Linked DNA regions of Arabidopsis thaliana. The protein of the gene in region 2 interacts with the protein of the main gene of each other region in a pairwise test. Each region holds a gene or a part of one and is shown on either strand. Other genes may lie near its edges.

The links.
Region 1: the proteins of AT3G63210 (region 2) and ZFP7 interact in a two-hybrid assay, tested with the Arabidopsis thaliana proteins (one large-scale study listed by BioGRID).
Region 3: the proteins of AT3G63210 (region 2) and AT2G31985 interact in a two-hybrid assay, tested with the Arabidopsis thaliana proteins (one large-scale study listed by BioGRID).

The regions. Positions count from the first base shown.
Region 1 is NC_003070.9:8,722,465-8,733,234, reverse strand, and holds ZFP7 (zinc finger protein 7), read left to right. Parts: upstream 1-6,022; 5' UTR 6,023-6,274; intron 6,275-6,573; 5' UTR 6,574-6,596; coding exon 6,597-7,226; 3' UTR 7,227-7,446; downstream 7,447-10,770. Other genes in the region: AT1G24620 (EF hand calcium-binding protein family), read left to right, coding at 8,782-9,342; AT1G24610 (Rubisco methyltransferase family protein), read left to right, coding at 10,524-10,770. UniProt on the Arabidopsis thaliana protein: Acts as a negative regulator of abscisic acid (ABA) signaling during germination and early seedling development.
Region 2 is NC_003074.8:23,349,735-23,361,071, reverse strand, and holds AT3G63210 (mediator of aba-regulated dormancy protein (DUF581)), read left to right. Parts: upstream 1-5,591; 5' UTR 5,592-6,165; coding exon 6,166-6,887; intron 6,888-6,967; coding exon of another isoform or gene 6,968-6,983; coding exon 6,984-7,053; coding exon of another isoform or gene 7,054-7,081; 3' UTR 7,082-7,558; downstream 7,559-11,337. Other genes in the region: AT3G63230 (senescence-associated-like protein (DUF581)), read right to left, coding at 734-919, 1,043-1,130, 1,246-1,439; AT3G63220 (Galactose oxidase/kelch repeat superfamily protein), read left to right, coding at 2,474-3,532; AT3G63215 (uncharacterized protein), read right to left, coding at 6,732-6,842, 6,968-7,081. UniProt on the Arabidopsis thaliana protein: May act as an adapter to facilitate the interaction of SnRK1 complex with effector proteins, conferring tissue- and stimulus-type specific differences in the SnRK1 regulation pathway. Involved in seed dormancy control.
Region 3 is NC_003071.7:13,609,581-13,620,772, reverse strand, and holds AT2G31985 (lipoprotein (DUF1264)), read left to right. Parts: upstream 1-5,080; 5' UTR 5,081-5,153; coding exon 5,154-5,299; intron 5,300-5,588; coding exon 5,589-5,992; intron 5,993-6,511; coding exon 6,512-6,687; 3' UTR 6,688-6,845; downstream 6,846-11,192. Other genes in the region: AT2G32000 (DNA topoisomerase, type IA, core), read left to right, coding at 16-109, 276-375, 729-972, 1,555-1,717, 1,816-1,935, 2,291-2,370, 2,628-2,906, 3,001-3,169 and 4 more; AT2G31990 (Exostosin family protein), read left to right, coding at 7,084-7,828, 8,441-9,273; AT2G31981 (uncharacterized protein), read right to left, coding at 10,679-10,792; CYS2 (PHYTOCYSTATIN 2), read left to right, coding at 11,003-11,169.

The DNA.
Region 1 (10,770 bases), on a different chromosome or scaffold from region 2:
GCCTCCGTAACACTTTGGGCGATGAGGTTTGCTCCTCTGTTTGCAGCAGAAAATTCCAATTCCACCTTCCACACCAAAAAAGGTAACTATGATCTATTTAAAGCCACACTCTGAGCTTTAAAAGAAGGCCACGCCCTTGGTCTCAACACTGCACCAATCAGAGACTTATCTTGAAAGGCAAAGATAATATTATCAATTTTATGACTGGCCATACTCTCCATAGCCCATAGGAGACATCTGAGCAAAGCATCAGCCTTGCTAGAGATAGGAGCAAAAGAACGTCTACTGTGTAACAACACTATACCATCCTGATCTCTTAAAACCCAAGCCCCTCCAGCAAAATTGTTTCTTTTTTACCAAGAAGCCCCAATGTTACATTTAACCCAATTCGCTGGAGGTTTAATCCATAAATTCTCCGATACACTGCCTACAAAATGAACACCATTACTCAGGGGAGGATTAAGGGCAGAACCCTCACCATCTAAGCATTGAGCTTCAAACCATTCCACCACATCATCCCTAATCTTTATCACTGTATCAGTAGCTGGGTAGCTTATCCCCTCAAAGATGAAAGAGTTCCTATTTTTCCAAATCCTCCACAAAATCCATGGAAAAATTTTCCTGAGGTTAATAGGCCATTCTTTATTATCTTTGTTCTCCAAGAGATGATTGATGTTGGAATAAATAGAGCCGTTACTAAAACCATCAGGAGGAAAAGGATAATCAGAAAGAGCCCAAATTTGTCTAGAGAGTGGGCATAGAAACAAGGTATGATTCGTCGATTCCCCAAGCTCACCACAGACCTGACATGTGGTATCAACGACATTCCTCTACCATTCAAGTTCTCGGCAACCGGAAGAATACCACTAAGCACCTTCCAAAGAAAAATCTTAATCTTTGGATCAGTCTGAAGGTTCCACACCTGAGTTTTCAACCCTAGAGTAGAAGGCTGCATAGAGACTTCGCTTCTCAGATTTTGGCTCTTTGTTTGATAAGCTAACCAATAGGCAGACTTGACAGAAAAATCTCCACTTTTATTTAACTTCCAAACGAAAAAATCTGCTTGAGATATCACTGGTTTAATAGCTTTAATTCTGAGAATGTCTTCTGGCAGGAATAAGTCATGAAGAACCTCTTCATCCCAAAACCCCGTTCTTGGGTTTAACAAGGCTTTAACTTTTAAAGTCACATCATATATCAGGTTTTTTCTCCAAGGGGCCCTAAAACCATTATCATCTATCCAGGGATCTATCCATACAAACAAAGAGGCACCATCACCTACCCTTTTTTGAAGACCTTTAGACAAAAGCTCTCTGCCAAAAAGAATGCTTCTCCAACCAAAGGAAGGTCTCTGACTCAAAGCGGCATCCAGAAAATCAGTAGCATCAAAATATCTACTTTTCAACAACCTAGAAAGGAGGCAATCCGGGAAATGAAGCAGCCTCCACGCTTGCTTCGCTAGAAGAGCCTGGTTGAAAGACTGGATATCACGAAACCCCAAACCACCACTATCTTTTGGTAAACACAGCCTTTCCCAACTTTGCCAATGAATCTTCCTTGAATGATCACAAGAATCCCACCAAAAAGATGCCATTGCACTCTCCAAATTTTCACAAGTAGTAATGGGAAGCTTGAAACACGACATAGCGAAAACCGGCATCGCTAAAGCAACAGATTTAAGTAATACCTCTTTACCCCCCTGTGAAAGGCATCTGGTGAACCAAACATCCAGTTTCTCTTTTAATCTATCCTTCAAGTAATGCAACATATCAACCTTTGACCCACTAAAGCATTCTGGAAGCCCCAGATAGGTCCCAGCCCCACCCTCAGTGAAAATTCCCAAACAAGTCCGGATAGTACCTTTCAATTGCTCATCTACCTTTTCACCAAAAGTAATTGAAGACTTGTTCAAATTAATAGTCTGACCTGTCGCATTACCATACACCTTCAAAATCTTTTGTAAGACCAGACTTTGCTCTCTTGAAGCTTTGCATAAGAAAAGACTGTCATCAGCAAAGAGCAAGTGATGCACCATAGGGCCATTCTCAGAAAACTGAATTCCTTCCAGAGCTCCTTCCCATTGAGCCTTATTGAGCAAATGAGTGAGACCCTCAGTGCAAAGAACAAAGAGAAATGGAGATAATGGGTCACCCTGTCTCAAACCTCTTTGAAGGATAATCAACCCAAAGGGACAGTCATTAATCAAAACAGAGTAAGTGACAGATGAAACACAAACCATGATCCAGTTAACCCATTTCAGATGAAAACCCAAAGACAGCAAAAGGGATCTCAAATAGCTCCACTCCACACGGTCATATGCTTTAGACATATCCGATTTTACAGCCATAAACTCTGAAGAGATACGCGGGTGAACCTTCAAACTGTGAACCAACTCATGAGCCACCAAAATATTATCAGTAATCAATCTTTCAGAAACAAAAGCAGATTGAGTATCAGAAACAATCTCAGGGAGCCATGGTTGAAGTCTCTTTGCCATAATCTTTGAGATTATTTTGTACAGGACCGAACAAAGACTGATCGGCCGCAAGTCCACCATTTCTGTTGGGTGTTGAGTCTTTGGTATTAAACAAAGGTGGGTATAATTCCACTCAGCAGGCATAATACCATCAGCAAAAAACTTTTTAACCTCTGATGTAACCTGATTTCCAACAGTGGACCAGTAGTGTTGAAAAAACAAAGCAGACATACCGTCTGGACCAGGGGCACTAGCTGGCTTGATAGAGAAAACAGCCTCTTTGATTTCCTGAGCACTAACTTCTCCAACAAGACTCTCATTCATAACTTCAGATACTCTCGGCACCAAACCTGAGAACCAATCCGTAAAGCCTGAAGGGTTTGAGGACTTAAACAGATTCCCAAAATAAGCAGCAGCCACTTCCCCTTTTGCTGCCTCTGAAGTTTGCATGTTACCATTCACATCTTTCAGCTTTTCAATTCTTTTCCTTTGCCTATTCTGTTTCACAGCAGCATGAAAATATTTAGAGTTTCTATTCCCACTTCTGAGCCATTTCTGTCTACTCTTTTGCTTCCAATAAGCCTCCTCTTCTCTATAGGCTTTTGCTAGGTCCTTCTTTAAAACAGAAACTCTTTGAAAAATCGGCCAGACCAAAGACTGTTCTTTTTCCAGAGCAGCCTCAAGTTGATTGATTTTATCAAGGGAATTTAGGTTATTTTGTTTCTTCCAAGAACTCAGGGACTTTCTGCAAGCACGCAATCTATCTGCCACTGATATGTTGGTTCCGTGTTTGCCTCTACTCCAAGTTCTGATAATAGCTTCTTTAACATCTTCTTTAAACAGAAACCTCTTATCAAAACGAAACTGCCCTCTATAAGAATCTTGAGACGACATCAGCTTTATCAAAACCGGTCTATGATCTGAACCTCGAAAATCTAAAAAGGTTTGATTAGAGACCGGGAAGAAACAGAACCACTCCTTGTTACCAAAAGCCCGATCTAATCTGCATTGAATCCAGTGATCTCCTCTCCTTCCAGCCCAAGTAAAACCATTACCATGAGCAGGCATTTCCACAAGGTCACAACCTTTAATCATCTCATTAAAGGCTTTACAATCTAAATCACTTCTTCTCGGACCTCCATTTTTCTCACCATTATGAAGAATGTCATTGAAGTCACCAAACATACACCATTTATCCCTTCTACCCACTCCAATCCTTGAAATTCTTTCCCAGGCCTGACTTCTTTTACTTCTATCTGGGTCTCCATAAACACAAGAAACACAAAAATTAACAGCTCCAAACTGTACTTGAGCATCCATCAGGTTCTTATCTACAAACTTCAGATCCACCTGAACACTACTCTTCCAAAGCAAAGCTAAACCTCCACATTTTCCAACCGGCTCAACTGTATATACTTGGTCATATTCCAGCCAGCTTTGAATATCAACCAAATCATCTCTTGAATGCATCGTTTCCATCAAGAAAAGCAACTCATGGAAGTGTTTTTTACGCAGCTCCTTGATCACGTAGCTAGCTGCTCACATGAGGGCTGAGTTTTTGACCTCATACGGTATATATGAGATATTCGACCAAAAATTAAAATCGTACAAGAAAGAATTTTATCCCTCAATTAAGACCAATAGAGTCGAAACTTTTTCAAAAACTAAGCCCGCGAAAGACATAAATATATTCGGAAAACTAAGTCCAAAATTATAAGCGAACTATAACCAAAATATATAACCTAACTTTTACTTCGTAGCGCAACAACTTCTTAGTTTGTACTATAGAAAACATTGATGATTGCATCAAGTCATTTTAGAATGTCTAGCAAATTTTGGTGAGAATTTGATGAAAAGAATTTTGGTAAGTAATGAGATTTCAAAATAGCTTATTTGGATGCTGATTTCAGTAATGAGTTTTGCATAATTCTACCGAAAACTGCTCTAAATAATTAATTGACCACATTGAACTACGAATCAACAGTATAAGACTCAGTTGAAACTCACTAGTCACTACTACTTTATGGTGTGGATACAACCAATTTTAAGCTCCATTTTCATAGTGGCATTTGTCCACTAATGTTTTTACTAAAATTATTTGATTGTTCAACTTCTTGTTACCCAAGGAAAAAAGTTTTTACAAAATCTTAAAAATACCAACCAGCAACATAGAAACGATGGAACAATCATTTGTGAAATGTGATTGGGAAAGCTAATGAATTGAAGTGGGCACAAAGGCCCACAGACAAGTTGGGATGGAAATGGAACAAAAGTGGGCAGATGTCATAATCACTCAACGAATTAAAGACAAAAAAAGATAAAATATGGAGACACCATTATCTCTTTGTCTTTTGCCACGATCCCAAGATTGATTTTGCCCTGGCTTGAATTGTTCCACACACACAAACCCCTCTATGAAGACTCATCCGATGGTAAAACAACGGAAAATATCATTGGTCACGTACGTTTTATAGCTGCTAGCAACAACAACAATGACCAACGATATTTTTCTTTTTCGTTTTGTAGTTGTTAGCAATTAATGGCAACGATTAACTTTGGTTTGTTTTACAGTCGTTGGTTACTCGGTTCACTCTAGTAGTTTTGGTAACAAAGTTTAGTGATTATGACAAAATTTAGCGACTAGTAATAAAAAAAATTGATTACTAACAACGTTTTCATAGAACAAGAAAAACATAACACCTTATTTTTCACCGCACGAGTGATTTGGTAACATACCACACAGAGACAGTATCGGAAAAAAGTTTTTTTTAACAAAAACTTTGCAAAAAAAAGAAAAGTTAGATAGAAATGAGACAAAGAAAGCAGAGACTTTAAAATCACATGTGATATATCAGAAAAAACACAGCAAGAAATGTCCACATCCAAAAGTAAAGGTAAAGCCGGGGGAATGAATGTATGGGCTCCATGCAACATTATCAAATTCGTTGCTCTCTATTCGTTTTTTCCTACTATATAAGTGGCCGAGTTCAATTATTAAATGTTCATGAAAATATCCAAATTAAATGAAGAACTCTGACGAGTGCTATAAATAATTCAACAATATTATGTTTGTTTTTCTAACTATAAAACATACAATTTGTTTATCTGCTTTCTTTTTTCTTATATACAGATTTCAATTTTCACACATCTAATTCAAATCTTTTCAACAAATCATGACTATTCAACAACTTCGAAATGTTTTCAAAACTTATTGATGCGACAAAGTTTATCTATAGCACATCACAATGAACGTATAATAAACACTACTTTCGAAGACGTGCATACCAACGCCTATACGGCTACATCTTTACGAACACTGTAATAAAGTAATTCAAAATATTTCTTGGTTCTATTTCTATATATATTTAAGAAAAAGCAGAGTACTTTACTTGATTAATTTAGAAAAAATAATACTACTATTTGGCTAAGTGCCCCTAAAAAAATCGTTGAACTATAGAGAAAAAAACAGAGGTCTAAAAGTCTAACTGGCAGACACTTTTATTCTCCCATGTGTTTCACCAGACACCATCTCCATCTCTCCAACATTTGCGTTTCCACATTTGTTTAAACATAACTCTCTCTCTCTCTCTCTCTCTCTCTCTCTCTCAGTACCTCTTATTCTTATGCTCTTCTTCACCAATCCTATCTCTTCTATCTGTCTTTATTTTCTCTACATGTGAATTGACCCATTTCTGGTAAACACATAGAGTACCACTTTTCTTATTTAGATTCTTCTTCCTCTTCATAGCTTCCAAGTCAACTACTTCAGCTTCTGTCGGCTGTCTCTTCCCAGATCTCGTAAGCACAGTACCCTCCAAACTTCTTATCTCTCTCTGTCTCTCTCTCTCTCTGATCTTCGATTCTTGTTTATATTATCCTTACTACTTCCTTGGATTAAAACTTTAAAGCTTCATTTAGATTGGTCTTCTTTATGCTACGGACTTGCTGATTCTTGTCCGAATTCAAGAACTTTGTTTTTAGGTCTTGAACCAAGTTGTTAACTCTGTATAAGTCTTTACTTGCTTCTTTGCTCAATATCTTAGATTTATAGATTCGACAAGTTTTGTTGTTCTGCTTTGACTTAATTATGATTTCAGGTTAAGACCAAAACTTGGAATAAATGACGGAATCTGATGATGCCTCACGAGAAACACCAGCCAGCAGAGGAGGAGAAGCCTCGTCAAATCAAGATCTGTCCAAACCAGAATCAAACCATGTTTCACTCGATCTCAAGCTCAACGATACTTTCAACGATGACACAAAGAGCACAAAGTGTGAAGCAAACCCAAGAGTCTTCTCTTGCAACTACTGCAGACGCAAGTTCTATAGCTCTCAAGCTCTTGGAGGTCACCAGAACGCACACAAGCGAGAAAGAACAATGGCCAAACGAGCAATGCACATGGGAAGAATGTTTGGTCACCATCACAGGCCTTACACATACACTTCTTCTTCCCTTGGGATGCAAGCTCACTCCGGTTTACTTCATCACACCTTATCTCAGCCTCAGCCTCTTGTTTCTAGGTTTCATCATCAAGGGTATTTTGGTAACACCGTGCCGTTGTTCTTTGACTATGACGATGGTGGTAGCGACTTCTTCTGGCCCGGCAGCTTCCGTCAGGTGGTTGAGGAAGCTGAGGCTCCGGTGGTTGTGGTGGCTAGTACTGAGTCAGGCCTTGATTTGAACTCGGTTGCGGCAAATGGAGGTGTAGATAATAATAGCTCAAAGCCTGATCTTACCTTAAGACTCTAAAAGGATTAAGGAGATTATATCTTTATTGTTATTTTTCTATTGTTAGACATACAGAAGATAAGTTGGAGACAGTTGATAGAAATTGATGAAAAACTTTGTTGTTATATTAAATGAGGTTGTTCATTACATTACGGTTTCATTCATACCATTATACGAGCTCCCACACCAGTTAAATCATTAACTATTTTCATCTAGGAAGTGAAAAACATTAGTATGTTCGGTGGAAAAATTTTGTTTCGTTCATGAAAGATTGAATCATTTGTATGTCTTCTCGCGGAAACTGAGCCAGACATGCCAAAACGTCGACCAAAGTAGATTTAATATTTGGACACCTGAACATACTAACCGATTTAAGCCATCTTATTTATCATGCATATCAAATTATGTCTTAACCAGAATCAACTTTAAGACATTGATGTCTCCATTATTTGCAAATTCATTACAAGTTGTTTTCTTTTCTTGCATGTTTGTGTCTTCACTTCCATATATTTATTCCTAAAAACTAAAGTTTTTTTGCTAAGAATTCCTAAACTAAAGTTGCTTACTCTGAAGTTCCAAATAAATAAATAAAACTCTGAAGTTCTAATGAATTTTGTTGCCATATATGCGGTAAATTCTTGTGATTCATTTTTTCTCATATGATCTATATTTTTTTTTTGGGGGCAAAATTAATCTGTATATATTGTTTACATAACCTCACTAATCAAAGCTTATTTGTTTACATGGTCAAAATATGAATAAATTTTAAAACTTTGACTAGACAACCAATATTAAAATTGAGCATCTTTTATTTTATAAGTTCTTTTTTTTTTTGTGCAAAATTTTTATAAGTTCTTTATACGAATAAATCAAAGAAAACTACATATAGTAAAAGTACGACCAACTCAAATAATTGTAGGATGTGTGATAAAGTACATATAGCGTATCTAGTTTCTTTTTTGAAGTACAGAGTATAATCTATTAACCAAACATTTTTAAAGTAATATATAGCTATGTTCAAAAGAACGAAATAATCCGTAGACCGTGATTGTGCCGAGATTAGTGGGAGACATTCGGACGAAGTTGGCTTTATACTATTACAAAATCATTATTTACGCTACTAAATGCAAGTAATCAACATCAAGTGTATATTTATTTCGTCCTTATACACCCAATTGCTTGTTTAAATATTAATAATCATTTTGACTTTGGAATGATAATTATAAAGTTCTGATTATGATGTTTTAACAATTCAGAAACTAAATAATCATACAAAATCTGTTATCATGTAAAGGTTATTAGAGAGAAGCGGTCGCTACTCGATATTGGAAGAGCAGTACTTACGCATGACACAAAAATGTCAAATATTTATTTAATTCATATCCATATTTTAATTACGGATTTACATAAAACTGAGAGAGTTTTTAGGAAATCTTCCAGATTTAGTTGACAAAATTTCCAAAATTAGCTAGCGATCAAGAGAATCATCCGCTTCCTTTGGGAAACACACAAATACGAATATCTCTCTTAATCCGATTTTCTCTTCTCATTTGTGTGATTTTGGAACAATAACAATATGTTCAACAAAAACCAAGGATCCAACGGTGGTTCATCTTCCAATGTCGGCATCGGAGCTGATTCACCTTACCTTCAAAAGGCACGTTCAGGCAAAACAGAGATCAGAGAACTCGAAGCAGTTTTCAAGAAATTCGACGTGAACGGAGATGGTAAGATCTCGTCAAAGGAACTTGGTGCAATAATGACGAGTCTAGGTCATGAGGTACCAGAAGAAGAACTAGAGAAAGCGATCACTGAGATAGATCGTAAAGGAGATGGTTACATAAACTTTGAAGAGTTTGTGGAGCTGAACACGAAAGGTATGGATCAAAATGATGTTTTGGAGAATCTGAAAGATGCGTTTTCGGTTTACGATATCGATGGGAATGGTTCGATATCGGCTGAGGAGTTGCATGAGGTTTTGAGGAGTCTTGGTGATGAATGTTCGATCGCGGAGTGTAGGAAGATGATTGGTGGTGTTGATAAAGATGGTGATGGTACGATTGATTTTGAAGAGTTTAAGATTATGATGACTATGGGATCTAGACGTGATAATGTCATGGGAGGTGGTCCGAGGTAGAGTTTCTTTCGTGGACACTGCTGAAACTGAATTCTCCGTTTCTTCTTCTTTTTCGTGTTCTTCCTTTTCGTCGTCATTGTTTATTATTCCACCATTGTTTCAATCTTTTTTTTTTTTGTTGTTGTCTTTGTTCTTTGGGATTTGTAATTCCCTTCAAGATAACGTGATTTTAAAATTTTAATTTATCTCTCTTTTTTTTGTATTCAGTTCTGCTTTGGGACTTGATTAATTTGAATGCATATACAGTGAAAATTATGTGAATAAATAATAACCACAAATCTCATTTCTTACTCTACATTATAAGCTAATTTCTTTGACATATGTCTATTGCATTTGTTTCGAATGCTAGTTTTTGGGTTTGTTTTTACACCTAAAAATTATCCCTTTATTATTAAAAGGGAAGTACAAATTGAAATTTTGTCTAATTTGGCCTCAATTTTGATTTTAATTTTGGATTTTGTTCTTTGCTATTCCAAATCATTAAGGGTAATTTGGTCTTAACAATCTTCTAAATTTTATATGATTCGATTCAATTTAAACCGTTCAATAAAATTAATTTCCTTCAATCTAAACCGCTCAACAAAAATAAGGAATTTATGTCGTTTTTGAAATCAAAATATGATCACATTTCATCCCTAAAAACACTATTCAATCTCAAAATCAATAATCAATAATATTCAAATCATATATTACGATTCTTCACTAATCATTAGAAATTTATATTTATAAGTTTAGGGTACCAAATTTATTCAAATATTTAGTATAAGAACCAAATATGTTGATAATCGAACATCAAAATGTAACATCTGTTCATCTTTGTCTTTAAGTTTTTACAAATGCTTTGAATGGTTCCAAATTTGCAATGAACAAAACGATTTTTATTTACCGTTTATGAATTTTGGTTCGCAACAAACTAACATAAAAAGATGAACTCATTTGTAAAATTTTTGGTGTATGCATATTAAAAAAAAATGATTTAACATAACTAAATTTTGTAAATTTTTAATACAAACGCAAACGTTATTTTTTTCAAAAGCCCATTTACGACGAAAAACTAACTAACAAGCCCATTAGTTTTAGTATTCCTTTTAACAATGGACCCAGGCGCCGAATAAAAACTAAACCCGGTCCGGATCTTAATCCTCTAGCAACAGTGAACCGGGTCCGCTTCGTCGGAACTCATGGCCAATTCGAAAATGGCGATAGCTTCTCTAGCAGCTCAAATCCGTCCCTTCACATGTTTGGCCGCGTCTCTGCCGTCACGGTTGGCGCCTCATCCACCAGACCTCATCCGGTGGATCAAGCGAGAAGGCGGCTTCGTTCACCACGCGGTTAAGCTCTCTCAGGAGACTCAATTTGGTATCGGACTCATTTCCACCGAGCAAATCTCTCCAGGCACCGACCTAATCTCTCTCCCTCCTCACGTTC
Region 2 (11,337 bases):
TTCTTCTAAATGAATTGCCTCGACCTTTGCTTCTGTTCCAAGTTTCCTGTCAGTAGTAGTAATTAACTACGTCAGCTGAGGTCATTGCCTATCTAATAACAAAGATACGGTCAAACTCTTGTCTTTCTTTTTTTTGGCAACCAATTAAATTCTTGTCTTTCGAGTATTGGCTTTCGTCATACCTCCAAGTAACGGGAAATAACGCCTTGATGATGCTTGCAATTTCCTTTTTTTATGTAAGAATCTATAAATATTCTTCCTTGGTATATTATTTTTACCATATTCAATTCCAGCAAAGAAGGTTTACGTATGGCTGCTGGGCTGCTGGCTACCTTCTCAAGAATTCGAATATCACACGCACGCATTAAACAAACAAATACGGCCACAGAATAAATGTAGAATTACCAACGGTAAGAGATTACCAGCTTTAATATGTTTACTGAAATGTTATTAACCCATTTAAAATTATTTTTAGAAAAAGATAAATGATAATGGGCCCGTTTTTTAATTATGGGCTTACAATACAGGGCCTGTTTTATTCATTGTTGTTGAATCTCCTTGATCTACATAGTCCACAGACAAAGCAAGCCCAAGTCTATTAGAGTATGCCCTAATAAAGTTGCATTCCAAAGCCTCTCTGAGTTTACGAGACTGCCGAAACCCAAAAGTGTAAACGCCAAAGACAAACTTTTTTGATTAATAAAAAAGATATCAGAAGCTGTCATATCCACCCTTAGAAAACACACTTGTACATCAAATTGGTTATGCAAAGAAGACTAAAAAAGGAGAATCCCAAATAACCAAAGAGAAAGTTTGATCGACAGATAATAATATGCCGATGCAAACTTGTGAGAGTAGTAAGCCAATTCCCCTTAAAAAACGAGGCAAAAGGCTTAATAGTTGCACACATCCATCTACACTGAACCCCAAATCATCATCAAATTCAAAATCATATATAAAAGCATGATGATGATGATGATGATGATGGTGATGATGAGATCCTATCTAATCCCTCATCTTTGGATGTTCTTCCCTTCTTAACATTTGCTTTCTGTCTCGAGAAATCTCTAAAGACGTCGCATGCCATCTGTTTTGCTCTGCATTGTTTTGAACAGAATGCCCCCAAGTATCTGCCAGATGGTTGCAACAAGGAATTTCACAAATGAAAACCATAGTAACAATACACACAAAGAATCCCTAACAATGATATATCTAAGCAGAGAGGAAAAGAAGCAAAAAACTGACCCGTACATGAAAACGTCCTCGTCATGACGTAGATTCTTCTTGCAGAAACGACATAGCTCAAGGAAGTTAGTGAGCTGAACTTGAGCCTTGTCTTTCTCTGCCGGCAACCAATCCGAAGAACCTACGTACTTTGGATGCTTCTCAGAGAAGCTTGGGGCTCGCGGTCTCTTGCTCGGAATCATTATATTCGCCATCCCTTGAGAGAGGGATTTCGGATTGTAATCGTTTTATAATCGTTTTCATGTTACGATCAAAACTCACAAAGATTTTAAATATAATAGCATATATGTAAATACGATTTTGAGGTAAAAAAGAATGAAAATAACATTTTTGTTTAAAAATTTGATGAAGTTGCCAAAATAGAGATATTAGGATCAGAGAATATCCAAATCGACATAAGTTTGTATTCTTCTAGACTTGGTGTCAATTTCTCTCACATGTGTATGTGTTGATGAAAAGAAAACGTTTTGATATTTTGTGTGGAAAGCAGCAACCCAAAGAAAAACATAAAAAGGCCGGTACGGGGGAGAATCATAAATGATGATTATAAAATCGGTTTAGTAATATCATAAACGTAAAAACGACGACGTAGCTTCTTTATTAAAACCTTGTTCTCTCCTTGCTCTTGTTGTTCCTTAACCTCGATTTGATTTGATTTGATTCAATTGTCGTCGTCCGGCAAAATCACAAGCTAACTTGTTTCTCCCGAGAGATATCTATCATCACAATCTCCTTCCTTCGTGTTCATCAATCTCCCGCCGCGCTTCAGGTAAAATTACCTCCAAATCTGTTGTTGGTTTATTATGCTAATCTAATCTAATTCTTAGCGTGCGACTTCTTCTTCTTCTTTGTGTTCCCTTTGATTTGTCTCTCTTTCGTAATCGTCGCCGGTGTCTCAGTTTCCGCTTTTGCTTTGCATTGGATTCGATTAAATGCTTTCGTCGGAGCCCAATCTTGATTCTCTCTCTCGCCTCAAGTTTTTAGGGTTTCTTTAAATCCAATTTCATCGATTATTTGCTGTGTGATGCGGCGGTGTCTTTTGAAATCGATTATAATGCTGTGTGATGCAGCTTCGAGAGAAGAATTTATTAGGTCTTACGGTGAAATAAGTTACTTCACCCAAAATCTTCACTTTACACGCTTCTCAGCTTTTTTGGTCAATTTTGGCATATTTGTATTCAAAGATTGGGCATTTGCAATTGCTTGTATCTGATGATCAATCTCATAAATGTGTTACAGACAAGAAACAATGTCTGGGCTGCTGGATGGAATCCCCGAAGCAGTGGCTCTGAGATGCCTGGCTCATGTGCCTTTACACCTTCATCCCAATTTAGAACTCGTCTCTCGCTCCTGGCGAGCTGCTATCCGCAGTCATGAGCTCTTCAGAGTCCGTAAAGAGCTCCGATCTTCTGAGCATCTCCTCTGCGTCTGTGCTTTCGATCCTGAGAACATCTGGCAAGTCTACAGTCCCAACTGTGATCGCTGGCTCACCCTCCCTCTCCTTCCTTCTCGTATCCGCCACCTTGCCCATTTCGGTGCTGTCACTACTGCCGGCATGCTCTTTGTCTTAGGCGGTGGCAGCGACGCTGTCAGCCCTGTTACCGGGGATCACGACGGTACCTTTGCTACTGACCAGGTCTGGTCTTACGACTTTGTACAGAGACAGTGGACTCCTCGCGCTTCAATGCTCGTGCCTCGTGCTATGTTCGCCTGCTGCGTTCTTCAAGGGAAGATTGTTGTTGCTGGCGGATTCACCACTTGCAGGAAATCCATATCTGGAGCGGAGATGTATGATCCTGAGAATGACGTCTGGACATCCATCCCAGATCTCCACCAGACTCATAACTCTGCCTGCTCGGGTCTAGTGGTAAACGGGAAAGTCCACGTCTTGCACAAAGGCTTGTCCACGGTGCAGGTTCTTGAGAGCGTTAAACTCGGGTGGGATGTCAAAGACTATGGCTGGCCGCAAGGTCCAATGGTGGTCGTTGAGGACGTGCTTTACGTGATGAGCCATGGGCTGGTGTTCAAGCAAGAAGGTGACACGTGGAAGATGGTTGCATCGGCCTCAGAGTTTAAGCGGAGGATCGGAATGGCGATGACGAGTTTGAGTGATGAGGTTTTGATCGTAGGAGGAGTGATCGGACCTGATAGGCTCAATTGGGACATCAAGCCCTTGTCAGATGTCGACGCTTTGACAGTTGGGAATGATCGTCCGGCCTGGAGGAGTGTGGCGCCGATGACAAGGTGTCGTGGGACGATCCTTGGCTGCACGCAGTTGACAATCTGATGGATGGGAATGTGGCTTCATTATGACGTCTTTCAGTTCTTTTTTGTTTTGTATTTTCTTCCTGTTTGTTAACTGTTGTGAGCATTATTGTTTTTAAATCTTCTTTGAGAAATGAAAATAAACGAATAGCAGCTATGTCTTGAGAAAATGTCATCAAAGCCTGGTTATTGTCTATAAACGAATAGCAGATTTATGTCTTGAGAAAATATCATTTATGAGTCTGGTGAAAAAAAAAAAAAAAAAATAGGTCTATTGATTGGGCTATATGTGGGAATGATATCAGGTTGGGTTTGGACAGGTTGCATAAGTTATTTTGTGTTGGGCCTTAAACAATCTGAAAGAGCAATATGGGTTTGAACATGGAGATATTTGGTCATTGAACAGAAAAACAAAATTGTGGTATTCAAGCTCTAAGGAGTATTTTGTAGTGTATAAGAGTAATGATTCGGATTTAAGACATGTTGACAAAGAAGCAATGATTTAAGAAAATGGACCTCTCATTATCTTGCTCATTTGCTTTCTTTATCTTTGGTAATTAGGGTGATATGACTATATCCTTGATAAACACAATATATCGGTGCCACTTTCGAATTAATAATAACCATGATTAAAGATGGCGAGTCATCAAAGAAATCATGAAATGGAAAGAAATATAAAAATTTCAGTATCGAATCAAATGAATGATTAGTGCTGATTCCACTCCAATTATATTTTATAACCTCTACGTCAGGTGGTTTAGAAGGAAATCAATCTATCAAGAGTCACGTCTATGGATTGGGAGTCAAAACATATACGTATGCTTCTGGTAGTAGTCGTAGTGATTAAGGGATCAAAGTTGTTAGACTGAATGGGTTACAAACACAATTACGGAATCGATGGACACACTCATTACATTAAAAAGAAATAGCACATTCAATGGCATATATGGATGAGTAGTCGCTATTTGTTTCTTCTTATTTGTAAGAAAATTAATCAGATGGATATTCACAAAATTAGATTTATCCGAAAGAAAAAAAAAAAAAAAAAGAGAAACCCAATTGAGGCAAGAAGAGACCTTGAGGCATGAAAACAAGACACAAATACACAAAATTTCCTTGGCTAAACAAAACATAGAAAATAAAAGCTTGAATCGACAGGGGGAGAAGAAAAGGCCAATATGATCACAACGTCATAGAAATAGCGAAAACCGTAGAGGAGGAGGAGGAGAGGACCTACACACTCCTGTCCACATCCTTTTAGCCCCACCGTGGGTCTATCACTAATTCCTTCCTCTATCGTATTATATCCGAATACGTTACTTTTCTTTCCCTACTAGGCTACCAAGTAATATTTATGTTTTCTTTTGCGTTGATTATTTGTAAGTGAAGTTATGATTATACATAATCTTGCAACTTGAAACTCTTTTTGTTTTTTCTTGAATCTTGGTATGAATCAGAAGTTGACGAGCTTAAACAATGAAAATGCGATAGTTAGATGGGATTCGAGAAAAACAAGATCAACAACAATAAAAGTGGTTCGACGAGTTATATAACTTTTTGGGTCAAATAAGTGATTATTATTATATAATTTGTCTTGTAATGGAGTAAAACGCATCAAGACCATTCAATCAAACGTTTACTAGTAGACAAACACACGTGGCGCTTATCTAGAACTTAATTATTGGATTAAGCAAAGCAGGTGCAACTGTGGACCCCCCTCTGATTACATTTGTTTTTTATCCACAAACTGTTTATAAAATATTTAGTAGTATAGATTAACATGTACATTATTCACTGATTATTGTTCCTACATTTTTAAATAACGTCACTGATTCTTTGATTAATAAAACAAGAAACCCAAATGAAAGTGAATTATGATTTGAGAAAGACAAACGAAATAATGACAAAATGCCGTATTATATAATAATGGATACAAATTGTAAGAAATAAATAACTCACAGTTTTTTTTACAAAAATGAAAAATAGTAGTATAAAATAAAAGGAGAGCCTGTGTTTCAGAGGCCCAAACATCAATGCACAAATAATGAATGTATCGCCGTTCAAGTGTATACCTAATAAACTAAATAAAAGTTTGTACATGCAACAAAAATAAAGAGAGAGTACAAATTCGATAATCTTGCAAAAGATGTTTCCAATCTTTTATCGTCGACCCAAAATGTAGTATGTTGTTGTTAAAATACACGACGACAAAAAAAAGAGAGTACGATACACATTCAATCATATCCGGTCCCTAATATGAATAATGGATCGAAAATAATTGAGATCTCTATGTGTTAATAAATGTAAGGGGTAAATCCGTAAAGTTGCATGCATTTCTTGGTTAAATCTACAACGTCCCGTCTCTCGAGATCACTCTCTCTCTCTCGCTCTTTGGAAGGAATAAAGAAGAGAGGAAAGAGATAAGTGAAAGCAACTTTTAATCTGATTTTTGCGAGTGAGGAGAGGATCATCATTTCATAGGAGTGAGAGACCCCATTAATACCAGAAGCAGTCAGAGTTTCTCAATAATTGTACCAAATTCTCTCTATTCTTCTTCTCTTTCATTTTAGATATTTTCTCTTACGCAGACTCATTGCTTTCCTCTCTCCATGGAAGCTACTGAGTTATGATCCTTACCCTCACCGGTCTTTAACTATGCTTAGAAACAAACCTAGAGCAGCCGTGACGACTAAGAAACAAACATCTCTGTTAATGGCTGATCAACCTCCACCTCCAAAGCCTAACACTTGCCACTGCTCACCATCTCTCTTTAGCTCTCCCAAGTTTAGGTTTTTCACTTCTAAGATGATGATGACTCCCTTTGACTCTGATTTCTCACTCGTTAGCCCTACGTCTATACTCGAAGCTAACCCATCCATCTTCTCCTCCAAAAACCCTAAACCCGTTTCCTATTTCGAGCCAACTATCCCTAATCCCCAGCGTTTTCACTCTCCAGACGTCTTTGGCCTAGCCGATCTCGTGAAAGACGGAGACAGTAACAGAGACCACTCTAGAAAACCTGTCAACAAGATGGTCCTTTTCGGGTCAAAGCTCAGAGTCCAGATCCCATCATCAGCTGATTTTGGAACTAAAACCGGCATCAGATATCCTCCTTGTCAACTTAGTCCTTGTGTCCAAACGAAGGTCTTAGCAGTGAGCGAGATTGACCAGACGGAGGACTACACGCGCGTCATCTCTCACGGTCCTAACCCAACCATCACTCATATCTTCGACAACTCTGTTTTCGTGGAGGCTACTCCTTGCTCTGTTCCTTTACCCCAACCAGCCATGGAGACCAAGAGCACCGAGAGTTTTCTAAGCCGTTGCTTCACCTGCAAGAAGAATCTTGACCAGAAACAGGACATCTACATATACAGGTTCGTACCTCCACAATCTTTTATCTATGTATTTGACTTTAATCAGATCATAGAGTGGTTCCAAAACTAAACTTAATCACAATGGTTGTGGTGCAGGGGAGAGAAAGGTTTTTGCAGCAGCGAGTGCAGGTACCAGGAGATGCTTCTTGATCAAATGGAGACCTAGCTAGCACTCCTTCTCCATCTCTTTTCATTTTTATTGATTTTGTCACAGCATCATCTACTTTTGTATTATTCTTTTAGTTCTCTGATGCTTCTTCTCTTTCTTTCTTTTTTTGGGTGGGGGTATTTGTATTTCTAGTCATAACCTTTCTCGCCTGCAGATATGTGAAAGATAGAGAGAGAGTTGATAACTTTTTTCTTTGTGTCATGAGAGTGAGTGACTCGGAGGGCTCAATAATATCATAAACTTGCAGAATACTGCCATCTGAATCAGAAAATATCAAAAGCATCAGTCTTTTCCATAACCTAACATTCGTCGTGGCTCTATGCGGTCTTGTAGAGGGAAAATGTTATTGCTATAAGGCCATTTGCTTTTTGATTTAATTTTGTTAACTTTGACAGCGCCAAGTTACAACAATATATCAAGTTTTGTTACCGTTTACCTCAGATTCTGAACTCAGACTCATTTTTCAGTCGAGAAAGGTTTCTGGGAAGCCATTGAACTCGTGTTTTTATCCTGTGAAATGAGTCTGATTTGGTGTTTACAAGTAAGTATATAATAACTCTAATCGCAATCAAACCAAACCAGATCAAACCATAGATGCAGGGGAGGGGATTTTGAGTGGTTAAATATCGATGGGCTATATCATGCATAATTAGGCCGGTCCCTAATAATACGGGCCAGATATGGGCCGTTTCTAATAGGGTCCGCAAGTAATGAGGTTAGAGTCCCAGGGATGATTGCATGTCTCGGTGGCGTGCCCAATTTGCAAGACAGATAACTAAATGTTGAGGACCCTCATCACTTTTTTTTTTTTGGAATAGACTCGTAAATTTAATATCAGAGCAGCTAGAAGGCCCAATCTCACGGAACCATTTAATTGTAAAAACAAAGTGTGAAGTTGTGTCAGTATCATGTTTAAGTTTATTATTCGAATCAGCCAGTACCTTAATATATGCAACATGGATGTTGGAGTAGATGTTAAGACTAATGAGAGGAAGGTCGTATATACTAGATATAGCCATATAGGAGATACCAAAATTAATCTGGTAATGTGTTCAGACTCTGAGTCTAATGTCAGCTTTCTGCATACTCTATAATAATCATGCATGATAGTATTTGTTGTGAATCAAGTGATTTATGAAGAATGAACAATTGAAGATACACATATGAAGAAACAAAGCTGTCAGTCATAAAGTAAAATAAATAAAATGTACTGTCCCTTTGGGTTTCCCGTGACACACATAGTAGAAATTTATAAGGAATCATTTGTAATAATGAATCTTTTGTTTTGGTAAATCATTTGTTGTAAGAAAAATGTTACAAAAAAAAAAGAAGAGGAAGAGATCTATCAATAGAAAAGTTGGGCCGAATGGTGGTGGAGGTTTCCGCCAGAGGTTCTCGTCCGTATTATGTTCATTGTCGTCGCTATGCGACAAAAAACTATTTTTATGTAACAAACAGTGTAACACACAAGTTGCCTTCATTTGTAAAGAAAAATAAAAAAGGATTTGAAGAAGACAGACAAGAAGATCTTAGCAAAATCCATTACATTTGCCCCTGACTTCACTTTTATATTACAGATTCGACTTCCTTTCTTTTATTTTATTTAAACACCATTTTAAGCAAACAAAAATAAAAAAGCAAAACTTATGACAAGTACAAAAACCCACACGTGTGCGGTCAGGTCTATTATACACATGACGGTGCCGATATTTCCTTCCTCTTCTTTTATTTTGTCAACCACTTGTATTTTTCTCTTTTATAAGTTTTAGATTATAAGCATATGTACAATTTTTTGCCAAAAAAAAAAAAAAAAAAAAGCATATGTACTATTTAAAATATAGCAGGTTATTTACTAATCAGTTACACAGCAAAAATATAGTTAAGTTCGTGATTGTGATTAAATTAATACCTTAACAATTTCAAAACTGAAATTTGTATGACTTATGCATTGATTTTAAAAACAACACGATTATTTTGCTGCATATACATATAGTAGAAATCAATTATTGTACGTTCACATTCAACAAAAAAAGTAGTTCGATTAATAAATAATATATGGACGTTCTTTCATTATTATATGTTCTATAACTCGCATTATTGGATCCATCAAACATTCGACTTTATATTTGAAATTAGTTGTTGGCTGGTTGACTCGTATTTCTTTTTCATACTCTCTCTACTGTATTTGTTGTTCGTTGATTTACTACTTACTTATACATCAAATGCTTGGATCACTTGTACAAATAAATCAATCTGCCATACTCGTATATTGTAACGGATAAATTCAAATATTTATATCTTGCAACAGTTGAATACTTTTTCTTTTTCATCGGCTTCATTTTTTTGTTCACTATTGTTTTCTTTATATTAATTGAAGAAGGGCCACAAACATTATACTTTATTTATTTGGGGCTTCTTAAATCTCATCATAGCCGATTTTGGGATTAACTAAGCACATCATAAAGCTAACATATAATCACTATTGTTATTATTTAATAAAGAAATAAAAACAAACGAGAATCTTTTCATCTTTGACGTTTTTGAATCTCTCAATCGCCGCCAAAATGATCCGTTATGTACTTATACAACAACGCTGCAAAACGTTATTTCTAAAACATTTGTACTTGGATAATTGGATTCTGTACACATCTATATTCTTTTTCTTCTTATACGCATTATCTCATATATATAACGTGATATTATATAAAACAATATATTATGACAAACTCTTAATTATTTTACTTTTTCCATATAAATATTAGTACTTGATTATTCTTTGTATGGTCGATATACTGAATATCGAAATTTGCATTGAACACTATTAGCAATCTTTATATTAATGTTATTTTTTATTTATTTGATATTTGAAATAAAAAGAAAGATATTTAATCACATCATATAGTTGGAGTTATTAATTACACAAGGACGCCACATTTGCATTTAACGGGGGCTACGTGCTTCGACGCATTGATGAGTAATTTAAACAGAAACACAACTTTAGGCTTATTAATCACATTTTAATGAATTATTGTTTTTAATCGTTTTATAATATAGAAATTATTTTCATTTTTCATTATGATTGTTGTATGCTATCTTCAAATATCATCCCGCCTAGGATCGTTATAATGGCTTTGCAAAAACACGAATTTTTAAAAGAAAGAAAAGTGCATGGTCGAGCTTTAGGTTAATTTATTTTATCACTTTGTATGCAGAACGCATAATTGTGATATAAAAATAATATTGAATAAAGCGTGGTATTGGTGGGCGAATATGGTCCCAAATAATTTCGTGTTCTGTTCTTATATTTTCTATTTCTGCATATTTTTTTATCACTCCCTTTTAATTTATCATATTATTTACTTTGTCAAATGAAAAAAAACAAGACAAAAATATTCAATTATCCAACCTATCACCATATTGATGACTTTAGCCGTACCATAGAACTCCAAGGAAATTCTCGAGACTTGATTACTGCCACTTCTATTTTTATTTAGCCTTTCTTCTTTGAAGAACAATAAAATTGATAATGTCTTATATATTACCCTGTATGTGGAATTCAATCACAGCTATGAATTTAGAAGACTTTATAGGTTGCTTATATATTTCTTAAAAGAGTTGTCGGTAATGGAGAGGAAATAAAAAAAGAAAAACGAACGGTCCATGAGAGGTGACCTTGAGATTAATTAATTAAGTAAGAAAAGTTGAATAATTACGTGGTCATCATCAGATAATGAACAGTGTCTCCCACCAACTAGTACTTATCTCCATAATTAATCTTTCTTTCTATTTTAGTTTTGTTATATTGTAGTTTTTACTTATTTATGCTTCTTTCTTGGTGGGATGTATTTTGCATAGCCAAACCGACAAAGTTAAGATTACAAATTAAAGATTAGTAAGCACTATAGATGAAGTCTTAATTAATGCACAAATTATATGATTATGTGCTTATGATGTTACTGTGCCTTCAATCTATTAAGCTCATAGTGGCTCTACGGCACCCACTCAAACCTTTTAACTACCGGCTACTTAGCCTATCTCATTTCCAAAACCTAATAAATTTGATCGGACACTTAAAAAATCAAAATAATCAAATTAGGTGGGTGGGATAATCTTGTTTTATACTAATATTAATTTAAATATATGGAATGGGCAAGACATCAGTTAATTAATAATCTTCCTATATATTAAATGATTCATGATTGTTCTCCTTCGGTGACACCTCTGCACATTTTAACTGACATATTAATTTTATTTATTAATTAACTTAAAAGATAATTTATA
Region 3 (11,192 bases), on a different chromosome or scaffold from region 2:
ACTCTCATATTCTAGTGTAGATTTCCCAGAAAAATATCAGAATTGGGCAACTATTGATCCACAAGATCTTTTCGACGCTCCAATTATTAAAAAGGAATCAAACCCAAAGGTAAATAGTTCTCATGATCTTATCTCTTTTCTTTGTGCATGGGGAGTGCTTTAGCTGGGTTATACGTATTGTTAGTAGTAGAGATGCATCTTTCTAGTAGTCATATGTTTCTTGTATTCTTTTATTTACGGTATTACACTTTTCTCTAACAGTCTTCAAATCTCAGGCTCATATTTGTAGGCATTTAAGTAATGAAGCTCGTGGTTGCAGTTATATGGTGTTGTGGTTGGATTGCGATCGTGAAGGAGAAAATATATGTTTTGAAGGCAAGTCTTTAGCTACCGTTTTTCATTTTTGTTCTCACCAGATTTTTCGCTTGAGACATACAAAATTACTGTGCCTAACCATTGCATCCACTCTGCTGGTAAATTTGATTCAGTGACTAAGTCTTCTCTGTTTTTACTAAATCAATCTGTATATGATGCCAGTATCCAATGGTAGACCCTTTAAGTTGTAGTAGTAGATTGGGTGTTTAAGTATACAGTTAGCCCCTGCATATGTGGTGCAACCACCAATATCTTAATCTTTGTTCTCCTGCAAAAGTACCTTTTGCATGCCGATTATATTTGGTAATGCACATGGCCGTTGCTTTAACTTGTTGACCATTAAATTTTTGTAGTTATCGAGTCTACTGGCTTTGACATGAAAGATAGTAAGAGAAAGGTTTATCGGGCACGGTTTTCTTCTGTGACTGAGAAAGATATATCAAAGGCCATGGACAACCTTGTTGAACCAAACAGAGATGAGGCACTGGCAGTAGATGCTCGTCAAGAGATAGATCTAAAAGTTGGTGTAGCATTCTCGCGATTTCAAACAAGTTATTTCCAAGGCAAATATCAGAATCTAGACTGCAGAGTTATCTCGTCAGTTTCCTCTTGTCTCCTTCCTTTCCTCTCTTTTTGTTCTGTGTAAAGAGTCGCTGAAAAGTAGGGTCAACTTCTTTCTTTAGTCCAAATGCATTTTTTTTCTTTTTTCCTTGGGGTATTTGGTACAATTGATCATATAAGATGCAGCTATGGAATTCTGTTGTGGTTATCTCCTGTCATTTTGAGTGTCAGAGTAATGCATTTCATGTAAATACTAAAAAAGAGTACAGACATAGCTTTGTAAGACTTAGGCTTGTATGTTGTTTATCTTTGTCGAAGCACCTCTTTATTTCTCATGATAGGACAAGAAATGAGTTGTCGTGATTCAATCATGGTTCTGGTTCTCTTGGGGGTTTAAATTCGATCATCTGTGTTTTCCGTACTAAGTATTCCTCAGAATGCTCGAAAGAGTGTGCGTGATTTTCTGTCCATTCCGTCAGATTTCACATTCAATAGTAGTTTTTTCTGTTAACTATATTGTCAACTAGATTTTCCCATCTTTTTTATGATACAAGTCACTGTATCCATCTGGTTTAAGTCTTTTAACTACTTAAAGATCCTTTTGAATGTTTATTTCAGGTATGGGCCATGCCAGACACCTACTCTTGGGTTTTGTGTGCAACGCTACATGCATATTAATACTTTCAAGCCAGAAAAGTTTTGGGCTCTGCGACCTTATATAAGAAAGGATGGTTATGAGCTCCAACTAGAGTGGGAGAGACGAAGATTGTTCGACCTGGAAGTTAGTGTCTCATTCTTGTCTTAGAATTTCTTTGACATTCTTGACTGTTGCTTTCTAATCTTATGTTGCTGATATATATATGCTTTAACAAATTATAGGCTGCTACTGTGTTCCAAAAGTTGGTCGTGGAAGGAAGAACTGCAAAAGTAATGGACGTATCAGAAAAGCAGGAAGTCAAAGGTCGCCCAGCTGGTCTTAACACAGTGAATTTGCTAAAGGTCAGAAAAGTCAGGAGTCGTGATTACCATTCCTTTAAAATGAACTCGCCTGGTTGTACATTATACTTTAAGCAAACACCATATCATGTACTAATGATCGCAGTACACTGACTGAAAAACTGAAATATTCTGCATCCAAAGAAATTTTGTTTATATCAGCTTCATAATTGTTTTTGGGGATGAGTTGGCAACAACATTGGGATCTTCGTTCTCTTCTTGTTTTGTTAATTCTGTTTTTAATGTTGGGATTAGAGCTTTGCCATTGCTTAGTCTTGTTCACGAGTTCAAAGGTCAATAAAAGCTACTTTTATGCGAATTACTCTCCTGATCGAGCATAACATTAGTGGTTACACAGGTTGCTTCAAGTGCTCTAGGGTTTGGGCCTCAGACGGCTATGCATCTTGCAGAGCGATTGTATACTCAAGGTTTCATCAGGTTCGATTGCTCCATTCTCCAGATTATTATTTTTGTCATTTAACTCCTCTTTACCAGCGTATAATTGGCTAATTTTGGTAAATCCCAATTCGTTATTGAATGGTAGTTTTGTTTGTTTAATTAAGAACTGGTAGATAGGAAATGGAAAAAACCGTCGCTGACGAGAACATACATACATCACAATTTTCGCTGTATAATTTATTTAAACATTTAAAGTGACGGAAACTTTTGACTCAAAGTCCTTTGTTTTGTGCTAGCTATCCCCGCACAGAAAGCACAGCCTATCCTTCTTCATTCGACTTCACAGACACACTCAGAGCACAAGTTAGTAATCCAGTATGGGGTGGTTACGTACAGAGACTGCTCTCAGACGGATTTCATATGCCAAAGTCAGGAACTGACGCTGGAGACCATCCTCCTATCACCCCAATGAGAGCAGCAACCGAGGTCATGGTCGGAGGAGATGCTTGGCGACTCTATCAGTATGTCTGTCAACATTTTCTTGGCACTGTTTCACCTAACTGCAAATACATAAGGTAAATAAAGCCTTGTTTGTAGCTTAATCCATGTCAGTTACAGCTTATTCTTTGCACATTTTAAATGTGGTATTCTCTTGGATGGGTATCTCAGGACTAAAGTGGAATTGTCAATTGGTGGAGAAACTTTCCATTGTACGGGGCAGCGTGTGACAGAAAAGGGGTTTACAGCTATAATGCCATGGTCTGCAGTAGATGAGAAAAAACTCCCTTCTTTTCTCAAAGGAGAGAGGATTGAAGTTTTAAGAGTGGAGCTTTACGAGGTCACATTCTTCTCCAGTTTTTGTTACTGCTCTCTTTGCTTTGTACTAGGACACAAATTACTATAATGTTTCCACTTTTAGTTTATTTTTTCTGTTTGTATTTGAATGTTGTAAAATCTACAGGGGAACACTGCGCCTCCGGACTACCTTACTGAGAGTGAGCTGATATCTCTCATGGAGAAGCATGGCATAGGCACAGATGCATCAATAGCTGTACATATAAACAACATTGGTGAACGTAATTATGTTCAGGTGGGTTAACCTACCCAAAGGCGGTGTGCTTTTCTTCACTGTTACAATGTTACTCTCTCAGGAAGATCCTTTTTTGTTTTCTGAAAAATCTCATTACTCTTGTTTGGTGCTTACACACTTTTGCAGGTCCAATCTGGGAGGAAAATGGTTCCAACGGCGTTAGGAATCACGCTAATAAGAGGCTATCAGTGTATTGATCCAGACCTTTGCTTACCAGACATCCGGAGTTTTATCGAGCAACAAATCACTCTTGTTGCCAAGGGCCAAGCTGATCATTCACACGTTGTGCAGCATGTGATTCAGCAATTCCGGCGTAAATTCAGTTATTTTGTTCAACAGGTTGGGAAAACCTGGCTGATATTATGTTTTCTTCGGAGGCATTTACTGATATTGTCTTCGATTTAATCTGTTCCTCCTTAACATCTTTCGTATATTGTCCTTTCAGATCGAACACATGGATGCCCTCTTTGAAGCACAGTTCTCTCCTCTGGCTGATTCTGGTCGTGCTTTAAGCAAATGTGGAAAATGCTTGCGTTACATGAAACATATCACAGCAGTCCCACCACGTCTCTTCTGCGGCACATGCGAAGAAGTTTATTATCTTCCTCAAAAGGGCACAGTCAAGGTAAAACCCTTTCGTCACCTTAACCCTTGAGCTGAAACCTCAGTGAATCTCTAGTTTTTCTTATCCTTTGCTAACGGATTTTCTCACAGCTATACAAGGAACTCACATGTCCTTTAGACAACTTTGAGCTCGTGATCTATTCAGTTCCAGGACCTGAGGGGAAGTCATTTCCACTATGCCCATACTGCTACAACTCTCCTCCATTTGAAGGCATAGACACACTTTTTGGAGCCTCTAAGACGCCCAATGCTCCTGCCAAAACCAAAACCGGTGCAGGCATGCCATGTTCTCTCTGTCCTCATCCCACATGCCAACACTCTGTCAGAAACCAAGGAGTCTGCGCTTGTCCAGAGTGTGAAGGCACGCTCGTCTTGGACCCGGTTAGCTTCCCCAAGTGGAAACTCAACTGCAACTTGTGTAGTTGTATCGTTTTGCTTCCGGAAGGTGCTCATCGCATCACCACCACTAGTAACCGCTGTCCCGAGTGTGATTCAGCCATCATAGAGATCGATTTCAACAAGAAAACTACTCCTCTGGAGAACGGAGCCACTCTGCATCAAGGATGTGTTCTATGTGACGAGTTGCTTCTCTCACTTGTAGAAGTGAAACATGGGAGGTCCTTTGTGAGGCGTGGAGGAAGGGGAAGGGGACGAGGGAGAGGCCGAGGCAGAGGAGGGAGAAGAGGCTCAAAATCTGTCGACCCAAAAATGAGTTTCAGAGACTTTTGAAACTCTAAACTTTGTGTTTATGTCTTTGCGTTACTTGCATATCATTGGAAATTCAAAATTCTGAAATACTGCCTGCGTTTCAAGGAACAGTTTATAATCTTTTTAGCTTTACTTCGATTTTTTCCACATACACTTATCTAAAACAGCTCCCCAAAACTTTTAAACATTTGACTAATTCTTGTTTATGCCCTAAAGAAAAGCTAAAAAACCCAAGTGTAATCTTTTGGGCTTGTCACGTGTCACATGTCATGCATACAATCTTTCCTTTTTTAGATCATAACAACATAGTTGAATGCATGATCTATTCTCTTTGCAATTACTCTGTTTTTTGCTTGTTTAAAAGTTTTTGAAGAGGAAGAGCAAATCATTGATTAGGAAAATGGAGAAAGCAGTTCACTCGTCGACCACGTCTGGACCGGCGGTTCCAGGGGAGACAACAAAGACCGGAACCTCCATAATTGACACTGCAGCCTCCGCTGTTCAAAGTTTTGCACCGGTTAACCAAATCCACCAACATCTCTGCGCGTACGTAAAACCCGATCTTTGTCAACTCCACCTCTTTTTAAGCCTCTTAGATTTGTGATTCTCACTATGAAAGTAAAAAACATATAGCTACTTGTTTTGAATATATATATATATATATATATATATTTTGGGCCAACAAAAAATTATGTGTAATCAATTTTAACTAACAAGGCACCAATGAGCAATCTCGTCTAATTTTTTTATTCGTGATAAATTCTATTTCGATTTGGTTTAACCGTATTTACAATGTTACAGAGAAGGCATGTTATTTAATTTCTTGTGATGGCAGGTTCCATTTCTATGCTGACGACATGGCACGACAAGTAGAGGCTCACCATTTCTGCAGTCACGTGAACGAAGAGATGCGTCAGTGTTTGATCTACGACGGTCCGGATGCAAACGCTCGTCTAATTGGATTGGAGTACATAGTGTCAGAGAAGCTGTTCATGACTTTGCCTGACGAAGAGAAGAAGCTTTGGCACTCGCACGAGTGGGAAGTGAAAGGAGGGTTCTTGTTCATGCCTGGTGTTCCAGGTGCCATTCAGCGTAAAGATCTTGATAAAGTCGCTAAGACTTATGGGAAAGTTTTCCATTTTTGGCAAGTTGATTTGGGCCATGAGCTTCCCATTGGTTTACCTAATGTCATGATGGCTGTTACACGCGATGGCCAGCTTTTCCACGAGATGATTCAGGGTACGTAAGAAAATTCGTATATTAGTTATATCATGTCTTATATTAATGTGAGATTTCTTGTGGTTTTACATTTTAATTTTCTTAGAAAAAACAATAGACAGTGTTTAGTTTAATGTTGAAAAAACGGTCTAGGTAGTTATGACTATTATTTTTTAGGCATTGAAATTAAGCGTTTTTGTCATAAAACAATTATAGGCTGTCTATATTTAACTCTTAACCAATTATCGTTTAATTGTCAATTATTTGCTCGTTGACTTTTCAATTTATATTTATGTAGAACGGCGTCTAGACATGTTTAGCTAATGCTCCTTTTATTTATGGCATAATGTAGTAAAGACTAAAGATCATTGGTAGGTTATGCTTGGATTTGGGTATGGATTCAGAGACAGATAAGCGGTTTAGGGTATCAATAGAGAAACAACCTAGACCGGTTTAGCTAGCAATGGCATTGATATGGCACACTGTAGTTAGTATATATCATTTGTAGTTGATCGGATTTGGATTTGATGATGGATGCAGAGGCAGAGAAGCGGTTTGGGGTATCGGTAGAGGGGGAGAGGGACTCACGGGCGTATATGTCTGGACCTGAGCTCGGGATCCATCCATTGGCGAATGGAGGAGGCAAAGGGATGAAACTAGAGCTACGAGAGGTCGATATCAAGCCGGTTGAGTCTGTCGGCAGCGTCTTTGTCTGAGTTTACTTAAAACCTCTAATAATGCCCTCAAAGCAAGCAATGTATGTTTTGGTAAACACAAAACGTACGGAACTAGACAACAAGATTACTTAAAATAGTTTGGATTATTTCTTTGTGGATCTTATTTATAATTAGTAATAAGATAAGAAATAATATCTATAAGAAAAGGTTAACTAATTCACATGAATTAAATTAAGTAACCATGAAAAGCAATGTAGTAAACAATTTAGTTAGAAAGGTTGATATATACTATTATATAATTCAGCTCCGAGCAATAGGAATCAGACTCGAGAGCCATACTACTCTGACTTGATTTTTGGAAATAAAAATCACAAGAAGAAGTTTCTAACCACCCTACGTATGTATATGATTATAAAATTGAGATTATGAAACATCATGACTTTTATTCCCCAATCAAAAAATTCCTCTGTAAGACACCACACCAAAATATTTATTAATAATATATTATTTGCGTGTGACTTTCTGACATTTTTCTCTCTAAACTTTGACATGGATCATCAAATCAAGAACACCATGAAGAACAACAACAGTTCATCAGTTTCAATCGAGAATCATCCATGGAAGAAAAAACCAACCACTCTTTTACTTTTCCTTTCTCTTCTCTCCATCTCTCTGCTTCTCCTTCGTCTCTCCCAAGACAAAATCATACTCATCACCACCACCAAAACCACAGCCACCACTGGAACCGATCATCAACGCAGTCACAAATCTTCTGAGGACGATACGTGTCTCGGACGCTACATATATATCCACAATCTACCTTCTCGATTCAATCTTGAAATCATCAAAGATTGTAAGTCTATTACAAGACCAAAGGACAAAATCAGTATGTGTAAGTATCTCGACAACTCCGGATTCGGACCTTTGATCGGCGGTAAAAGTTCTGACTACTCTCCGAGCTGGTACGCTACTAATCAGTTCATGCTCGAAGTGATTTTTCACGAGAAAATGAAGAGTTACGAGTGCTTGACGAGAAATTCTTCACTGGCTTCAGCTATTTACGTACCTTATTATGCTGGCCTCGATTTCCGGCGACATTTACGGCGGCGTAACGTTGCTGCGAGAGACGCCGCCGGGAAGGAACTTGTTAAATGGCTCAAGAAGCAACCTCAGTGGAAAGGTACGCGTGTTTTACTTTTTAGTATTATTTCGTTTTGGACCCCTAATATTTTCAATTGTTTGCAATTACTTCTTGCTGTTTCGATTTAATCAATATTTACTCGAAATTATTCAAAGCTAGCGATGACTTTTCCACCGACGACTTTTAAATGAAAACCTTTTTATTCTCGAATAAATGTAAACCTTTTTAAGTACTCTTTAGCTTTCACAAATAAAATAAAAATTATATATGAAACAACACAAAATATTCTATAAACGTAGCTATCTTATTTATTGACATCCTATAATATATTGGAAGTGAAATTTTAGTATAACATTAAAATCCTAATTTTAAAGGTTTTTAAAGTATGTCGGTCAAATAACTTTTTTTGACATAACTACAAAATAAAGTTCAGTTATTACTAATAAAAATATAGGTATATTCTACCATTTCCTCGTAATAACTGACAAAATTTTGCAAATCACCCAATTTAAATTTAAATTTGATATAAATTTACAACATTCAATTTTTTAACGTGTATTTTTGGTCCGTCCGCCAAATTTTCTTTTTGACAAAATAGCCAATTAAATTAAATATTTTGTTTCTTTTATCTCTAATTGAAATTAAATGCAGATATGTCAGGTAAAAACCATTTCCTTGTAACCGGTCGGATTTCACGAGATTTCCGGCGAAACTCCGGCAGTAGGTCAGCATGGGGAACCAACTTCATGCTCTTATCTGAGTCGCTAAACCTCACTTTCCTCAGCATTGAACGAAGTCTAACGAGCCACAACGAGTTCGCAATTCCTTATCCTACTTACTTTCACCCTACGTCAACCCCCGAGATCCTTCAGTGGCAAGAAAAGATCAGGCTTACAAACCGGACGGTCCTCTTCTCATTTGCCGGAGCTCAAAGACCAAGCAGAAACCAGAACGGTGTGGTTCGCACTGAAGTTATAAAACAATGCAAGAGTTCATCTAAAACGTGTAGGTTTCTTGACTGTGACGTCAATGCAAATAGCTGTGATGATCCGATCAGTCTGATGAAACTTTTCGAGAGTTCGACTTTCTGCTTACAACCGCCGGGTGATTCGTTGACCAGAAAATCGGTATTTGATTCAATCTTGGCTGGTTGTATACCGGTTTTCTTTAACCAAGGAAGTGCATACAAGCAATATTTATGGCACATACCTAAGAATAGTAGCAAATATTCTGTTTATATAACGGTTAAGGAGCTGAGAACCGGTGGAAAGAACAAAATCGAAGAGATTTTGCGTGGAATACCAAATGAGAGAGTGGTTGGTATGAGAGAAAACGTAATAAGATTGATTCCGAAGATTGTGTATGCTAAACCAAACCGGAACAAACCGGATGGAGAGATTCTTGAAGATTCTTTTGATGTTGCTGTGAAGGGAGTGCTAGAGAGAATAGAAGGGATAAGGAGAAACGAATTCAAAACTGATTAGCAAATTTTATAGTTAGCCTAAACAAATGAAGATGTCCTACATTTGTTATTGTATTTAATTGTTCATAGGTCTTGTACAAAGATAAGTCTATCAAACATGGCAAACTTTCTCCCCAATTTTAAAACCTTTTGATATGCGAAAATTTCAGGATCTATGATGTAGTAGGATACGTATGTCTGTGAATGACCATTTTAATGTCCCCTTTGAGACTCTTACGCTTAGGGAGAGAAACAGACGAAGAGAGAAGACATAGAATGTCATTGAATCATCTCTCGATAGCTTTCATTAATGTTTGTCAATAAGGATTGGTTAAAGCATTAGTATATTTAGTCTCTTATCTTCGGCCCAAAGCAGCGTAAAGCTTTGAATGGCTTTGTTGGAAGACGTAAAGCAGTAGTAGCTTGAAGCAAAGTGTGGTGTGGTCTATGGGGTTCTTAATTTTAACGGTTCTTTCTAAAGGTGATTACCAAATTTTGGTTGATATCAAATTTTATAACTCTCAGTTCTTATATGTATATCTCTCGCTCTTCTAATGAATATATCTATTCATATTTTGGCAAAACATATAATTATATTTTATTTTCAAATTGTGTATACCTACCAATCTACCATCATGGTTAACCAAAAATTTGTATCATAACTAATTAACTATTTTTGTTTTGTTTTCCGTTGAACTAGGAGGCCAGGAGGGGAGAGGGGTTTATAAAGTTATATGAAAGTATTGTTGTGTCGAAAAGAAAAGTTTATTTCGTTAAAGAGCTTGATTGTTAACAAATACATAAAGACATTATACATTTCCTCTTGTCCGTAACGGATTGAGTTGTTAATTATTGAATAGTTCGGCATACGTATAAGAGAAGGTGCTACGTGAGCAGCATGCGAAGAGAAGATAGGGCAGATGTCAAATTCAGTTGATACGTGTCGCTCTCCTAAACAAAAACTCTCTCTTGCATGATAACAAAATCAGCAAAACGACAACAATATTTCAACACCAAATCGAGGCGATAAGGAAAAGGCTAAAGCGACCCATGATCCCTCGCTCCTTTCGTCAAATTAGAATTTAAAACTGTTTCATTGGTGCAATTAAATGATCCTCTAAAAAGTGTTTGAACATAATTATTTTTCCATATACATCCATAATTGTATAAACTTTTGTGAGAAGAAACCTACGAAATTTCTGTCTTTTTAACATATTAATATCAACTAATAGATGGTGATCTAAAGTTTAAAAATCAGGTATCAAATAATTTCAATTTCATTTTGAATTATAAGTATGGACTAGTTGACAATCATAAATAAAAACCTTAAATTACCAAAAAAATAATCCAATTGCTTAGATTAGGATATATAATTAGTGTGTTCGAATCCGATTTACAATAAAAACAAAATTACAGATCGGAGCAATTCACATATATACGTTAAAAAGGTGGGGGCTCACTTCACGTGGAGACTTAATTGGATCAGAAAAGTAACTTAAAAGATGCGGAACCCCGAAGGTGCCGATGGCATGGGGACCCATTCACGTACACCCAAACACAAACACCAACATTGCCTAAACTCTTTCTCTATATAAACACTTCTCTTTCTTTTTCTTTCTCTCACACAAAAATACAACAACTTAGATCAGTCTCAAAGGGGGAAAAAAAACTTAAAAGAAACATTAAGAGGCAACACAAATCACACAAAAGATCAAATTGAAGCCTAAGAAGAAGGCAAAAAGTGAGAAGCAATGGCTACCATGTTGAAGGTCTCTCTTGTATTGTCATTGTTAGGTTTTCTGGTGATCGCTGTCGTGACTCCATCGGCGGCGAACCCATTCAGGAAGAGCGTAGTTCTCGGAGGGAAGTCAGGCGTTCCAAACATTCGGACCAACAGGGAAATTCAACAACTTGGAAGGTATGCATACATGATATTGATAC